2 linked regions of the Caenorhabditis elegans genome follow. The protein of the gene in region 1 interacts with the protein of each later gene in a pairwise test. Each region holds a gene or a part of one and is shown on either strand. Other genes may lie near its edges.

Region 1 (5,545 bases):
CCGCCCCCCCCCCTAAATGCCCACCAACAAGTCTACAAAATGACCCAGTGTAGTATGCACTTCCGATATTTTTCATTAAACCCACCGCGGCAATGCAATTTCGAAGAGATCCACCACGAGTGTTCCCGTTTTCCAATAATGACTCCTTCAAAACGACGACAATTTGCATGTGGAGCGAGTGTTCTAAGGAATTCCAGGGATCTTCTGATTGCAAAAACTGTTTCCGGAGCTGAAATACATAACAAAATTATTTCAAATTCCCCTCGGTAAATATATGTATTCTTTTAAACAAGCTGAAACTCACCCTAGTCTTTCAGGACTTTCAATAAATAGAGTTCTTCGGACCACATCGACAACAGTCGGCCATTAACCAGTACGTCTGTTTTTCATTTCTCTCGCCAAAATTTTCATATGGTGCAATTGTAGTCGGAGTCTTGACAACAGATTGACAAACTTCTATGTGTCATGTAGATGTCCTCCTAAATTAAAAATTGTTAAAATGTGGCAGAAGACACATGCGCAATACCTCAAACATGTCATCACTCAATTCCGATCCAAACTACGATTATCTGATGTTTTCGTATCCATTGTCTTTATCAGAACTTCCTTTAGTCATGCGAGCTGGTACTTGTACTGGCGTGGTGGTCACTGAAAGTAAATGAAATTTCTGTCGGAATTTGTGAGAAAAAATGAAACATGTTTAACTTTGCAAAGCTACAAAAGATTATTTCGATAAACAGTTTTCAATTATGGAAAAAGAAACGAGCAGAAAATATGAAAGCAACAAGGATTTGAAAGCAGAAAACAATAAAAAAAAACTGTGCACCACAACGGTCTGCAGACAGCACTCTATTGTGAGAGACGCCGAGAGAGGGAGGAAGAGGGCCATGTTGCGCAGAGATCACAACACTGCGGGCACTGTGCCAAGTATCATTCCGGATGGGAGACGTGTGTGTGTGTGTGTAGTATAGACGACAAGATTAAAAAACAATGCAAGAGGCGTTTGTTTTTGTAGATCACACGTAGATCACAATGTATTTGTAGATAACAATAAAACAGAAATACGATTTGAGAGATAAATAAACTGTGATCTACGCAAAATTTACACAGAAACTGCTGAAAGTGATGACTACTGTATACGGTTCGAGAAACTTTCGAGAAACTTTCCCCAACAACTTTCTCCAACTTTGGACAACTTTCGGCGAAGAAATACAAGATAGGATATTCAAATGAATGAAAAATGTTTTTTGGTTTTATCAACTTACTTTTTGGTTCAGGTTTTTTTTTCTAGCAAGCCATTTTGTTTTCAAATGCTAATTTGTCTTGTATGTAGTTAATAAACTTCTATTTTCGGTGAACAAAATCTCGAAAACTTCATTTAAAACTTGAAATTCATCAATTCCCACTGCAAACTGCGTATCGGAATTCGGAGTCTCGTTTGGCCACGCCCACTTTGTTGTTTGAACTTCAATTTTGAAATTAACAGTTTAGAGCTCTAATTAGAGCTATATATTGCAAAATATTTCCAATGTTTTGGTGATTAAAAACTGTAACACATTTTAAATAAATATTTTTATGGAAAAATTTCCAAAAAAATCCATGAAAATTCCACAGCAACGGAAGTTTGAAATTACAGTACTCTTTAAAGGCGCGCGCGTAAGAGGATTGCTTTCTTTTTGCTCAGGTCCGCATCGAATCCTGTTGTAATATTTTGCCAGAAGTATAGGTGCATGTATTCTTATTATACTATTGGAAAATCAATAGTTTCCGATACTCTCGCTATGTATTTGTTCAGCCTCTGTCCTCCAAAGTACAAAACCCCCATTTCTCCGCGCAAATGATGCATTGTCCGCAAACACGGCGGCTGCAACTCTGCGTACATTTCGCAACTCTCATTTAATTTTGTTTCCACAGAAAATGCCAATTAATCCGGGGTTTTTTAATTGTTTCAAGCTCAAATTTTGGTTAAAACTGTTATTTTATCTTTCAGGTTACAAAATGGACTACGACGTCATCGCCAATCAGCCTGTGGTCATCGACAATGGCTCCGGAGTCATTAAGGCTGGTTTCGCCGGAGAACAGCAGCCAAAGGTAGGCAATAACGAATCAAAACTTGAGATTTTTGAATTTTGAATTTTAAATCATCTTTTAATTCATTTTTTACAGGTTCGCTTCGCCAACTTCGTCGGACGACCGAAATATCACAGAGTAATGGCCGGAGGGCTCGACGGAGACATTTTCATCGGACCAAAGGCCGAATCAAACCGCGGGTTGTTCTCAATCGAATACCCAATGGAACACGGAATCGTCAATAACTGGAGCGATATGGAAAAAATTTGGGAGTACATTTTCGGACAGGATCAGCTGAAAATCTTCCCAGAAGAGCATCCAGTTCTGCTCACCGACGCCCCATTGAATCCGTTGAAGAACCGCGAGCGATCTGCTGAGATCTTCTTCGAAACGTTCAATGTTCCAGCGTTATATATTCAAATGCAAGCTGTGCTATCGCTGTACGCCACCGGAAGAACGACCGGAGTCGTTTTGGATTCAGGAGACGGAGTCACACATGCTGTTCCGATTGTTAAGGGATTTGCAATGAAGCATGCGTCAGTAAACTCTGGGAAATTGCTTTAAAACACGCCTATGTGGTCACAATGACCGAATATCATGATAAAAAAATTCAAAAAAATTTTCTAGATTTTATATGATTTTTTTTTTTTGAAAGTTGCGAAAATCCCAGTTTTCCCCTAATTCCGGTTTGAATTTCCGCCATATGAATTCGTTCGCTGGAGCGCACTTGCATTTCATTTTATTTTTTCTCATTATTTCACTGGTTTTTCTTCATTCTTTGTGTATTTTTATCGGAATAAGAGAGAAAAATTCAAGATAAATTGCAAATTATTTATTTAAAAATCACTGAAAATGCGTAAAACTGTAAAATTATGAGTTCCGGCGATAGCAAACCTGAAATTAGCTTAGTTCACAGTTTCACCCATTTTCAGTGATTTTTAAATAAATAATTTGCAATTTATCTTGAATTTTTCTCTCTTTTTCCGATAAAAATACACAAAGAATGAAGAAAATCAGTGAAGTAATGAGAAAAAATGAAATAAAAATTTAAATTAATAAAAATAATGCAAGTGCGCTCCAGCGAACGAATTCAATTGGCGGAAATTCAAATAGGAATTAGGGGGGAAAACTGATATTTTTGCAATTTTCAAAAAATCATATAAAATCAGGAAAATTTTTTTGAATTTTTTAATCATGATATTCGGTCATTGTGACCACATAGGCGTGTTTTAAAGCAATTTCTCCATTGGGCGCACTCCACCTTTAAAAAAAGCATTTAATTCTAAAATTTCCTTTTTTCAGAATTCAACGAATGGATTTGGCGGGTCGCGATGTCACCGAATACCTCCGAGTCCTTCTGCGCAGAGAAGGATACGAGTTCCACAGGAGCAATGAGTTCGAAATTGTCCGAGAGATGAAGGAGAACGCGTGCTATTTGGCGTTGGATCCGACGAAAGTGGAGAATAATTCAGTGAAAGTAGTGATTTTTTTTGCAGTGAAAATGAGCTGAAAATCGCATTCTTTCAGTCATCCTACGCTCTGCCAGACACCACGAAAATCGAAATCTCCAACTCATTGTTCCGTGCGCCGGAAGTGCTCTTCAAGCCGGATTTGATCGGAACCGAGTGGCCTGGAATGGCACATGTTGTCAATCAATCAATTATGGTAGGCTCACAGCCTGCTCGGACGAAAAATCACTTTTTCAGACATTTTTGCTTAATTTTTGGTGGAATTTCGTTGGAAAATATTAATTGGCACATAATATTGCTATTTTAAGTGCACATTTTTCATCTTTTAGACTTTTTAACTTGATTTTTCGTTTTGGAAATGTTTTAGCTCTTAAAGTAGAACAAAAATCGAAATTTCTACAAGATTACCATATAAATATCAATTTTCTGTTGAATTTTACCCAAAAAATGCGAAATTTCTTTAAAACGAGCCTAGCCAAGTGATTTTATCGATTTTTATCTTATTTTCCACCGATTTTTCACGTTTTCAGTGTATTTTTACAGGAAGTTTGAAGAAAAGTCAAGAAAAATGCGAATTATCGATTAAAACTCAACATTGAAGGTTTACGCCTTCAACGCTGATTTTTAATTGATATTTCGCATTTTTCTTAACTTTTCCTTCGAATTTCCAGTAAAAAAATACTGAAAACATGAAAAATCGGTAGAAAATTAAAAAAAAAAATCGATAAAACCACTTGGCGCGAGGTTTAAATTTTTTAAAGCTATTTTTCAATTTTTAAAAATCATATAAAATTTAGAATTTTTTTTTCTATGATATTTAGCCACTGTGATATCAGAGGAATTTTTTTAAATAAATTTTCAGTTAAATTTTAGCCAAAAAATGCGGAATTTCTAAAAAAAAAAAACACCCATCAGCTCAAACTAAATATTTCCAGAAATGTGACGTGGATCTTCGACAAACTCTGTACAGCAACATCGTGCTGAGCGGTGGAACGACGTTGTTCAAAGGATTCGGCGATCGTTTGCTGGGAGAAATGCGAAAAATCGCGCCCGCTGACGGAAAAATTCGAATTTCCGCGTCGCAGGAACGAAATTCGCTCACATGGATCGGCGGTTCGATTGTCGCCAGTTTGGACACTTTCCGAAAAATGTGGCTCGGAAAGAAGGAGTACGAAGATATGGGAGCGTCGGCGATGCACAAGAGATTCTTCTAAATATTGAATTTTTTCCCTTTTTTGCTCACTTTTCATCGTAATTTATTTGTTTTTTTTGCATATTTTCCCCCTTTTTCTCCCTAATTTGTTCCATTTGGCGCTGGCTCAAAAATTCTTCAAAATTTTCTCAAAAATAGGCGACCTTCTTCAAAAAATGTTATATAGCCCGATTCTCTGGACATAATTATTCAATTTACCCCCTCCTCCCCCAGTTCCGTGTCCCACTATCTGCTTTATGCCTGTTTCAATTATTATTTTTTATATCTAAACGATTCGATTTTTATGGAATTCTTCAATGCAATTTATTACAGGTTCCCGGCAGCTCAATGGAGCCGCTGCGTCAGGCGGAAACTGTGCAATTTTAAGACATGAGGAAAATATTTTTAAAAAAAACTTTACGGAAATTTTCCGAATTGCCGATTTGCCGGAAATTTCAATTCCGGAAAATTTGCCGGAAATTTGCCGATTTGCCGGAAGTTTCAGTTCCGCAAATTTGCCGGAAATTTTCAATTCTGGAAATTTGTCGATTTGCCGAAAATTTCAATTCTGGAAGTTTGCCGATTTGCCGGAAATTTCAATTCTGCAAATTTGCCGATTTGCCGGAAAATTTCAATTCTGCAAATTTGCCGATTTGCCGGAAATTTCAATTCTGCAAATTTGCCGATTTGCCGGAAAATTTCAATTCCGGAAATTCGCCGATTTGCCGGAAAGTTCAATTCTGGAAGTTTGCCGATTTGCCGGAAATTTCAATTCTGCCAATTTGCCGGTAATTTCAATTCTGGAATTTTGCCA
Region 2 (3,378 bases), on another chromosome or scaffold:
GTTTCATAATGTTTACATAAATTAACATAATTTCATAACTACAATTGGTCAAAGATATTGTAAGGATGAACGCAACGAATTACATAGTTTTTTTTTTCAATTTTCCAGTTCCCAACAGTTTCATAAATTAAACATTTTAAAATTTAAACCTCAATTAACTCCTACAAAAACTTTTTAGAAATTGGAAAACGAGTTGTCAGATCATAATTAAATAATAAAAAACAAGTTTTTAAAAGTAGACTATCTGAAACAGTAATTCAATAAATTTTTGGACAGTTTTAAACTTTCACTGTTTCGCCTATAACACAAATTCAAGGTTATTATCAATGGTCACTCTTCTGGCAAAATCAGCAAATGATACACCCACACATGCTTGCACCTAATTATGATTTTATCAGTTTGTGATTTCGATTTCTGAACTTTTTGCAAAAGTGTCTAGAATCATCTGTACACTAATACATGGCCAGACATCTGCCCGGTTTCGAGTCGTTCCTTGCAGTGCAATAGTATCAAAATCAAATATTTATTTTATTAACAAAAAATAAGTTACCACGACTCTAACAAAAATTCTTCACACGCTTGACGGTCCTTCACAGTGCACACTTGCCCATCTTCGTGAGCACTGAGCCATGTTCCGTTAGAACTGAGAAACGACCAGGTCCCGTTGCCATTTTCGAATGGGCTCCACAGTTCCGTTGGCTCAGGAATGTATACTAGAGTCAGCTGGTTGCTCCCCAGGCAAGCTCTGCAATGTTTTTTAGGCTCACTTCTAGATGCTAGAAAGTTTTTTCTTTTCAATTTTCAAATTCTATACGTTGGAAGTTTAAGTACTGTACTGTAGTACTGTATAGTCGCTTCTGTAGTACTGTATAGTCGCAAGGCAAAAATTGGCACCACAACCAATATCAGGCCGCCGACATCTTACGAGTTCCGCGCTCCACTATATTTTCCTCGCAGAGGGCGGGACAGCTCGCCAAGCCCGCTGAACGTAGTGGCGCGCGGAACCCGTCAAATGTCGGCGGCCTGATATTGATTGGGGCGCCAATTTTTGCCTTTTCTCCGTGGGCCTATATAAGTGTACACGCAACAGTTTTAAATTTCTCGCAAGTTTCATATATTTAACCGAAATGGGACACTCTGACACCACATGTCTTTACAGAGCCTACACGTACCTTAGATATTTGCCCCGTGGATCAACTGCCCTGAAAACCACTTTCTCGTTCCAGTCCTCAATAATCCAATTTTCACATGTCCCCGCTTCGCCCGACTTCATGTCAACCTAGAATTATTCTCTATCAGCACAGTTTTTTTTTACTTTTTTGAAACCTTCAATCCTTCGTCATACCAATGAAGATATGTTCCATGACACGAACGTATCCTCCGTTTTCCGGCGGCACCTTCTGCGAACTGCCGCATGGTTTCTGGGACTCGGGCTTTTCGAATGTAGTCCGGGTGCTGTAATCCTAGCTGTTGTAATTGTAGAAAAGCCCGGTCTTGTTGTGCAATGTTAGGTGATCTCATCGTGTTGACTAGTTGAACAAAGTTCCGATAGTCAGTGTCGACGGTTATTTGAAAGTTGTGCTGAAAATATTTTTTATAACAATTTAATTATTTAAAAAAAGAGCCTACCAGTCGATCATGTGTATCGCCAACTGTTAAATTGTAATAACTTTCTTCTTGCATTCCCAAATGAAAATATTCAATCTGAAAAACATGGGGAACGTTAACAGTTTTATTTCCAGTCAAATCTGGAAAATGATTTTTTTTTCTCAAAAAAATTCCTGTTACAGAAAAATTTTTTTTTTTTCATGGTTGTCTTCTAAGCAGTTAATAGTTACAGTTAAAAAATTAGAGAAATTAGAAGCAGAGAAATTATATTGTGCAAAAACTCTGTGCTTGTTTAAAAGAAATAATGAGCAAGAAAAGGTAAACAATGGAAAATAATATGACTGTTTCATCTTATGTTAGTAAGTACAAACTTAAGTGGCTGTTTACTGTTCAGCTTTTTCCACTTAGAAATGTTTTTTTGGTCAAACGCAAATAGATCAGACTACACTCAAAATAAAAAAAAACTGCGTGGGCGTGTACTGCAGAAAACCTAATATTTAGGTCCCGCCTTTTTCTCGTCCACTCACGGAGAAAAGGCAAAAATTTTGACCCCAACCAATTTCAGGTCGCCGACATCTCACGGGTTCCGCGCGTCGCTGCGTTTAGCTCGCTGTGGGCGTGGCGAGCTGTCTCCGCCTGCTGCGAGTCAAACATAGCGGCGCGCGGAACCCGTGATATGTCGGCGGCCTAATATTGGTTGGGGTCAAAATTTTTGCATTTTCTCCGTTAGTGGACGAGAAAAAGGCGGGGCCTAAATATTACGTTTTCTGCAGTACACGCCCACGCAGTTTTTTTTTTGAGTGTAAATTCCTACAAATGATTATGTGAAAAATTTGAGTTTTTTTACAAAAAAATTGCAAGAAATTTGAAATTTTTAAGACAAAATCTTCTGTTTCACCTTTATTTTTTAATGTTTCTAGTGATGCAAATCTTATTATTTGATTTGCATTTTTTTTTGCAAAAAATTAACTTTCCCCATTTTTCCCCATCAATCAAACGAATTATCATCAAATCTACAGTTCTTATCATTTTTTTATTGCTAATCAGTCATAACTCAAGAAGAATGACATCGGAAACGACGCGAATCGGAACAGATTAAAAACTATAAAACCAAAGAATTTCAGATGGAAAACTCATCATTTTCCCAGAAAAACGATGAGAAAACTGCTAGTTTCGTTGGTTTTATTGATTTTCTCTGAAAATGTGACAGCGAATCGGGTGGAGCAGGTTCATCTCAGTTTGAGCGGGAAAATGGATGAAATGGTTGTGACGTGGCTAACGCAGGGACCTCGTGGGTTTTTTTTTGTTTTTTCATATTGATTTTTCAATAATGGGTTTCTAAGCATCCAGTGAAATTTTCTACAAATTTTTTTTCTAAATTATGAAAATTTTTTTACTGTTTCGAAAACTCTATTTTAAGTGTGTATGTTTTTCAAAATTTGTTAATGACGTTTTTTCCTCTGAATAATTCACATATTATTTGTTGTATTATTTTGCCACATTTGAAGAAAACCAACTTTTTTAAAACAATTTTCAAATTTTTTACTGTTTCAGTTTTTTTTTTTCAATGTAAAATGCCATTATAGGCGTGTTATTAAAAAAAAATTTCCTTAAATAAACAGAATATTATAATTAAAATTTTTACACTGCTTCATCTAGTTCTCAAAAACTTTCCCGTTTTCTACATTTCAATTCCACAATGAATTCCACAAATATTCTGGAATTTTCAGTACCAAATGTGACGCCATATGTGATGTACGGATTATCTAA

The links. The genes of interacting proteins can lie anywhere in the genome.
Region 2: the proteins of arp-1 (region 1) and ifas-3 interact in a two-hybrid assay, tested with the Caenorhabditis elegans proteins (one large-scale study listed by BioGRID).

The regions. Positions count from the first base shown.
Region 1 is NC_003280.10:15,118,311-15,123,855, forward strand, and holds arp-1 (Actin), read left to right. Parts: upstream 1-1,990; 5' UTR 1,991-1,998; coding exon 1,999-2,091; intron 2,092-2,166; coding exon 2,167-2,606; intron 2,607-3,372; coding exon 3,373-3,547; intron 3,548-3,597; coding exon 3,598-3,735; intron 3,736-4,474; coding exon 4,475-4,753; 3' UTR 4,754-5,035; downstream 5,036-5,545.
Region 2 is NC_003282.8:15,949,179-15,952,556, forward strand, and holds ifas-3 (Ig-like domain-containing protein), read right to left. Parts: upstream 1,711-3,378; 5' UTR 1,684-1,710; coding exon 1,630-1,683; intron 1,582-1,629; coding exon 1,327-1,581; intron 1,280-1,326; coding exon 1,173-1,279; intron 746-1,172; coding exon 547-745; 3' UTR 514-546; downstream 1-513. Other genes in the region: Y105C5B.15 (Purple acid phosphatase), read left to right, coding at 2,764-2,899, 3,339-3,378.